Linked DNA regions of Astyanax mexicanus. Each later gene encodes a partner of the first gene's protein in a complex. Links are inferred from orthologs where the notes say so. Each region holds a gene or a part of one and is shown on either strand. Other genes may lie near its edges. The genes, in order: tent4b and zcchc7.

The links.
Region 2: tent4b (region 1) and zcchc7 share a complex: the UniProt entries of both Homo sapiens proteins name them as parts of the nucleolar TRAMP-like complex. The link is inferred for Astyanax mexicanus from reciprocal best matches to the Homo sapiens genes TENT4B and ZCCHC7.

The regions. Positions count from the first base shown.
Region 1 is NC_064430.1:12,171,064-12,174,989, reverse strand, and holds the start of tent4b (terminal nucleotidyltransferase 4B), read left to right. Parts: upstream 1-1,255; 5' UTR 1,256-1,596; coding exon 1,597-2,156; intron 2,157-3,926. UniProt on the Homo sapiens protein: Terminal nucleotidyltransferase that catalyzes preferentially the transfer of ATP and GTP on RNA 3' poly(A) tail creating a heterogeneous 3' poly(A) tail leading to mRNAs stabilization by protecting mRNAs from active deadenylation.
Region 2 is NC_064432.1:7,203,320-7,207,245, forward strand, and holds the start of zcchc7 (zinc finger CCHC domain-containing protein 7), read right to left. Parts: upstream 2,517-3,926; 5' UTR 2,277-2,516; intron 1-2,276.

The DNA.
Region 1 (3,926 bases):
CTATTCTTCTTTATTTATTTTATCAATATATCATGAATGTCTAATTGTATTTTTATGTGTAAAGTTTTATGCCTCAAAGCTGGTCTGTATCTGAATATTTGGAAGGACTAAATAACAACATTCTACTTACAACACCTTGCTACTACTTTAAATTTACTACCTTACTACCTTAAATCGATTAGTTTGTATGCGAAAATAAAAAGTAAAAAAAAATGCATGATAAACATATGATATGACATGTCAAACGTTTGGGCAGATACTGCCTTCAAATCCTCCTCAAACATTCTCAAAAGGAAAGTTCTCAGAGTGAAAGGCAGAACTCAAGCTGCCTGGTCTTCTTATAAGATCAGCTTGATCTCTTGATTTGCTCAATGATGAGGAGCTTCATCAAACCCAGTAACAGAGGAGCAGAGCAGAGGGTTTGGAGTGATTTATATATATATTTTTAATTGTTACAAGTAACAATGCAGCCCATAAAAATGTAGTTAAAGTAATAAACTGATTGAAAATATGTAGTGAAGTAAAAGTGAAAGTAGGAGATACAAATAATACTCCATTAGATACAGATACAGGATTTTAGTAATTCAGTACAGTAGTGAAGTACTTTTACTTCCTCACTATACACCTCTGTTCAGAAGTAATTTGATTTCATTAAAAAAGTAAGAGTTTAGAAAATGTATCTTTGTAAATAAACAATTTGGCAAGTATACACTTAAATGAGACACATCCCTATTATAAAGTTAACAATATGCACTGCCACAAAACTTTTCTGCTCTATTACAGATTTCTTTTGTTTTAATTTTCCAGATTATTAAACAAACTTCAATATCAGACAAAAATTACAAGAGTAAATACAAAAACGATGATTTCATTTCTTAAGGGAAAAGTTTTAAGTTTAGGTGAGCTTGGGTTCTGCAGCAGGACAATGATCTGAAACACACCAGCAGTTCCAGTTCCAAATCTGAATGGCCTACAAAATAAAGGTTTTAGAGTGGCCTAAGTCTGATTTTCACAACACTGCATTCTAAGAGTTAATTATAAATTATAAATTATATATTTGAATGTGAAAGAATGGTTATGTTACCGATCTTTTTCCACCTTTGAGTGTTACAGTGTTACGCTCGCTCGGTCTCTCCGCTGGTGGGCGCAGTGCCAGTGGACAGACCCTGAGTGAGTGAGGGAGAGAGAGAGAGAGGGAGAGGAAAGGAGAGAGAGAGGTTAGCAGTTAGCTTAGCATAACTTCACCTCGACAGGCGACGCTCGCACGTTTCTCTCACTCCGCTTTACCCTTAACTTTGACTGTGGGCGTTTTTTCCCGTCTGAACCCGTATCTATCCGCGGTCTTCTGATGCCAGCAATCCCCTCTTTCCAGCTCCGTTAATGGCATGTTACGATAACATACGGCTATTTTATAGCGAAGCAGAAACGGGGGCTAGTGGGGGCGAAGTGAGCGAACCTAACGCTAGCTAGCTAACTAGCTAGGGAGCTAGTGGCTAGCTAACGCTAGCGGCGCTGCCAGAGCCCGGAGTGAGTGTGCGGCGTTCCCGGGCGTTAACTGGCTCAGCTGTGGGGGGGCAACAGCCACCTTTCCGTTTGATGGATCCTCGAATCGCCTGGTTTCAGCCAGAACAGCGCGGACCCGCCAACAGCTTGTGGATGCAGATTTGGGAGACCACGCAGGGCCTCGGGAACTTGTACTTCAGCAGCGGCAGCAACCACCACCACCACCACCACCAGCAGCAGCAGCAGCAGCACCACGGCGCGGGTCCGGCCACAGCAAGCACGAGAGTGAACGGCGAAAGCGGGGCGGCGGACTGCAGGAGCAGCGAGGGGAAGGCGCAGGGAATGTCGGGCTCCAGGGCGGACTGCGACGTTGTGGATCAGCGGGACTTTATACCTCTGGAGGCGGCGAACAACAACCAGAACCGCGGGCGATTCGCACCGGCGGGTAGGGGCGGCGGCGGTTCTTCAGCTGGGCTCGCTGCGGCGGCTCAGCGCAACAAGAGGAAACGGGAGAATAAGGCGAGCACTTTCGGCTTCAACCGGAGCCTGATCCTCCATGGCTGTGGGCCGGAGCAGGAGGAGGAGGAGGCGGCAGCAGCGGCGTACACGGGCACGCCGTGGAAGAAGAGAAACTACTCGGAGGGCATCGTGGGGTGAGTCTGCAGAGAGAGCTTCGTTTTGAGGTTTCCAAAATGAGCTTAGCAAAGGATAGATAGTTAACTAACTTACATAGTTTTTTTTTGTTCCAGATGGAAATTAAGACATCCAGTTGGTTAAAAAACACAAATAGCTACCTTAAGTACAATCAGAGAACACGTATGACAATAGCTATAACTTACTAAGGGCATGCTAGGTTATAATAAAAACTTTGCTACAATAGTGCAGTATATCAATGCAATCAGCCAATATACAGTCTACAGAGAAAAAGTGCAAGATTCTAGTTAATGATATTGGTTATAATAATAAACTAAATATATGGAGCGCCTTTCATACATTAAAATGCAGTTTAAAGTGCTGTACATACAGAAAGGTAATCAGACTAAAATGGAAAATAAAATAAAACTCAGTAAAAGCAAAGTAAAATAAACAATTAAGATAAGTCAATAGAAAATAACAATGATAATAATTTTTTCAAACATTTTAGCTCAAATGTCTCAATTATTAAAACAAAGTTATAAAAATATGTCTGGAGCTGCTTTTTGAAACTGTTTACTGATGCGTGTCTGATCTCAACTGGTAACGTTAAGCTGTTCCATTTCTTTTGGAGCATAAGAATTATAAGAAAAGTGACTTGGTGTGCTTAACGTTATATAACTTAGCTAGTTACATGTACTTATCCATATGTTTGGTGAGTAAATGTCAGTGTAGTTGATGTGGGGCTGGAAAGAGTTAAAAAGCCTTTAAAAAACGTTAACGTTAATTATGGCTAGCTATCAAGGTTAATTATCTAGCAGCTTTAAGTCTTACTCTTGCGTTTATTTTCTGTTCAAGTTTAGCTGAAGTTAGCTAGCTAAGGTTTGCTAAGTTAACTGAGCTAGCTAACCCAGTCAGTCTGTTAGCGTTAGCTGGCTAATGCTAGCTTATATCTTTACCTAGCTAATAGGGGTGTCACGATCTCGATATTTTATCGAAATCGAATCGAAATGAGGTCACGATCTCGAGTATCGAAGTCAAAAAGAGGATCGACGATCCCTCCCGCGCGCGCTACGCAAATAGCGCAGCGCGCTACGCAAATGGCGCGGCACCAACACAGCGCATCCTATTCATTTAAATAGAGATAGCCACTGCATGAGCGCAGTCGGCGGGAGTGTGATCACTGTTTTTATCTGTCCAACGGGGGAGGGGGGGCGGGGGTTGGGCGCGCAGGTTTTGTATCTGTATCTAACGGAGGGGTGGGTGCGCGCAGGTGAGAGCGTGTGAACTCGCTGAAATGCGTGTGTCAGTGTGAGAACACTGACTATAGATCACAGTGAGGTGGATTAAAAATCTTAAACTTATAATTGACTACACCTGTTGCTTTCCATTGAATTAAAAAAACATCTTTCTCTCAGATAAAGTAAACACAAGCGTGTTTCTGACTAAAATAAAAGCTTTTCAGGAGAGATATAAGTTATGTGTAAATATTTATAAGACAATACCCACATCACTTATCTAACCAGCCTGTACTGATTTCTGCCCCCCAATAATGCTTTCAATAACCTCTTGTAACCCCTGGGAGCCAGGGGTTACACTCTAATAGCCTTTAATAGTCTTCAGTAGCCTTTAAAAGACTTACCTGGCGGCCGTGGTGTGTCCACTAAACTCCGTAGTTATAAACATCCTGAGGTTAGCAGCGCGCTAACTGACCTGTTTATAATGCAATCCGAGCAGTGCCTCCGTGTCGGCTGTTCTAACCTGCTGCTGTTAGCTGCTTGGGCTGAAAG
Region 2 (3,926 bases), on another chromosome or scaffold:
CAACCTATTTCAGTATATTCAGAGCAAGCTAGCTAACTAGCCCAGCTTAGCATAAATGCTTGGCCAAACAAGCTTCAGCTAGTTGTCAGCTTTTCACCCCGTGTAGCTACCTGTTACAGTACTAACTACATTATGGCTATGGTATTGTGTAGCATGGAAGCTAAGTTATGCTAAGCTAAACAACCCTTTCAAACTTATACAGAGCTAGCTGGCTAACACAGCAAACATAGCCTAAAAGCTTGCCCAAACACTATGCTAAATAATAAATTATATCTTTTTAGAATGCCACCCTGTGTACCTGTAACAGTACTAGCTACAGAACTGTATGGAATAGAAGCTGAGTTATGCTAAACTAAACAGTCAAACTTATATTAAGCGAGCTAGCTAACTAGCATAGCTTCCGCTAAATGCATAGCCAAACATTATATCTGTAGCTAGTTTTAGTATGCCATCCTGTGTACCTGTTACAGTATTAGCTAGCTACATGACTACAGTACTATTTGGAGGGATGGGTGCTTTATTTATCCCGAAGAAAAATTAGGAAATTAGAAGCTATCCCTAAGCTAAACAACCCATTTAACCTTATATAGAGCTAGCTAGCTAACATAGCAATTATAGCCTAAATGTTTGGCCAAACACTAAGCTATAACTTCAGCACGTTTTCAGCATACCACCCTGTTTACCTGTTACAGTACAAGTTAGCATTATATGGATTATATTCCATTATATTCCATGTATAAGCTAAGCTAAACAACTTATTTACCATTATAGAGAGATAGCTAGCTTAGCCTCAAAGCTTGACCAAATACTATAGCTATAGCTGTGTACCTGTTACAGTATTAGCTAGCTTTATATGACTACAGCACTACAGTTTGGAATAGCAGCTGAATTATGCTAAGCTAAACAACCCATTCAATTTATAGAGAGCCAACTAGCTAACATAGCAAGTATAGCCTGAATTATTGCCCAAATACTAGGTTATATATTCAGCTAGTTTTCTGCATGCCACCATGTGTACCTGTTACAGTATTTGATAGCTTTATATGACTACAGCACTGTTAGGAATAGCAGCTGAATTATGCTAAGCTAAACACCCCATTCAACCTTACAGAAAGATAACCAGCTAACATAGCAAGCATAGCCTGAATTATTGCCCAAATACTAGGTTATATATTTAGCTAGCTTTCTGCATGCCACCCTGTGTACCTGTTAAAGTACTAGCTAGCTTCGTATGGCTACAGCACTGTTTCGAATTTAAGCTATTCCATACATATATATTAAGTAAAACAGCCCCTTTGAGCTTATAGAGAGCTAGCTAGCATAGCACAAATGCTTAGCCAAATACTAAGCTATATCTTTAGCTTGTTTTCATGCCACCCTGCGTACCTGTTACAGTATTAGCTAGCTTTATATGACTATAGCACTAGAGTTTGGTACAGCAGCTGAATTATGCTAAGCTAAACAGCCCATTCAACCTTATAGACAGCTAACCAGCTAGCATAGCAAGTGTAGCCTAAAAGCTTACCTAAACACTATATCTTTAGCTAGTTGTCAGCATGCCACACTGTGTAGCTACCTGTTACAGTATTGTCTACAGTATAGCTACAGTATTTTGTGGAATGGAAGCTAAGTTATGCTAAACTAAACAACCCCATCAACAGTATACAGAGCTAGCTAGCTTGCTAACTATCATAGCTTAGCATCCTTAGCATCACACTCTGTTCAGCAACCTCACTATAACTTTATCTAGGTTAACAGCTAAGTTACAAATTTAAGAGTACTTTTACATAAGTGTTCCCCCACTTCTATAGCTCTATATTGGTAAGCTAGCTAACATTAGCTTCATATACCTAGGCCTTTAGTGTAACTATTTTAGAGTTCGATTAGCTAGTTAGCTAGCTAGCTGTTAGCTAAGTTAAATAACAAGACTCTGTCTGTTTTGGTCTAATCCAGACCCCCCAAACTCCTCCAAACATCACTTCTCTCTTTTATAAACAACACATATGTTTGTTTGCCGGTTTTTGTGTTTAAATTCGCTGTTAACGCAGTAAATTTTGTGTATTTTAGCTGATTTAAGTGTTTTCAGCTCCCCAGCTCTCCAGCTCTCAGCTCTGACATCCACGTGTTCTCTGTCTAGGGAGAAGCCGGCTGCTGTTTTGTGTGTAATCGAGTCGTTTAACTCATTTAAAACCACGTTACGGCGGTGTTACAGTTGTGTAGACATGTAAACGCGCTGAAATCGCTGTGTTTAAGGTGTGTGAGAGCCGTAATCTCACCTGTTTCTGGATCACACTCCGCTGTTTTGAAGCGCTGCGGCTTCCGTGGCTGTAGGAGGAAAACAGGGTGGCCGACCGTGAGCTAGCGCTGGGAGCTGTCTCCCATACAGGAGAGTTCACCACCAGTTCAGTCTCATGCAGACAGACAGACAGACAGTAGTGTAGGGCTTTAATGTTATGGAAATACATTTATTTCCCTTTCCTAGGTTTACAGTATGTGTGATACACAGGTGTGCACTTCTTCGTGTACTGCTGCTTTCAGTGCACTTCCACAAGTGTGATCAATTTTGATTTGCTGTGTTGAAGTTGAGACACCTGTTCTTTCACTGACTTGCAACCAAAGTGCATCCCACTGCAAACTGTGTTTTAGTGGGTAAAATATCTTTGCAATTCGTGTCTAAATAAGTGAAAAGTTAAAGATTAAAGTGACCATTGAATAATAATAATAAATGGGTTCAGGGCACTGAGGATTTGGTTCAGACAACAGGGTTTAGTGTTTTAGCAATCAAGAAAAAAACTGTATTGGACCTTGTGTTGGGTATTATAACATTCTGTTAGCTGTTACAGGACTCTGTATTGGGTATCGTGACACTGCTGGGTGCTACAGGCCTCTACGTTTGGTATAATGACACTTTTTTGGGTCTTACAAGACTCTGGGCTGGCTTTTATGCAATGTGTTAGACAACGTCAAAGGATGTTATGTTTGTGTGTAATCATATCAGATAAAGATAACCTGAGTAAATAAAAAAAAATGATAAATTCATTTATTAAAGGTAAGAAAAAATATGTGAAAAAGTATTTGCCCCCTAAACCTAATAACTTGGTTGTGTCACCCTTGCGATCAAGTACTTGAGGTAACTGGCAATTAGTCTTTCACATGTCTTTGGAGCAATTTTGGCCCATTCTTCTTTGCAGGATTCTTTGCTGTGTTGGGTATTATGACACTCTGTTGGCTGTTACAGTACACTGCTTTGGTATTATGACACAGTGTTGGAATTTAAACACTGTTTGGTATTACCGAACCTTCTGTTTGCTGACCTCTCTGATATAATGACACTTTGTTGTGTTTTACAAGACTCTGTGTTGGGTATTATGACAATGTTGGCTGTTACAGGGCACTGTGCTGAGTTTTATTGTAGGGTGCTATATGTTGGATGCTACAGGACTCTCTTTTGACACAGTGTTAGACAGTGTAGGATTTTATGACACTGTTTGATATTATTGCACCTTGTGTTGGGTATAATGACACTGCTGGGTACTACAGGACTGTTTGTTTGGTATAATGACACTTGGGTTGGGTCTTACAAGACACTATGTTGGGTATTATAACACTGTTGGCTGTTACAGGATGCTGTGTTGGGTATTATGACAATGTTTTGGATTTGATGACATTGTTAGGTACTATGGGACCTGTGTTGAGTATTCTGACACTCTGCTGGTTGCTACAGGACACTTTATTGGTTATTGTGACACTTAGTTGGTTGTTACAGGACATTGTGTTTTAGGTCGTGTTCGGTGTTATGACACCCTGTTGAGTTGTATTGCGAGATACTGTTCAACATTAGACACGGTATGTTATATATTTCTGGAAACTGTGTTAGTTATAATGGCAAAGTGAGTTTTAGCGTTTATAAGACATTGTGTTGGGTG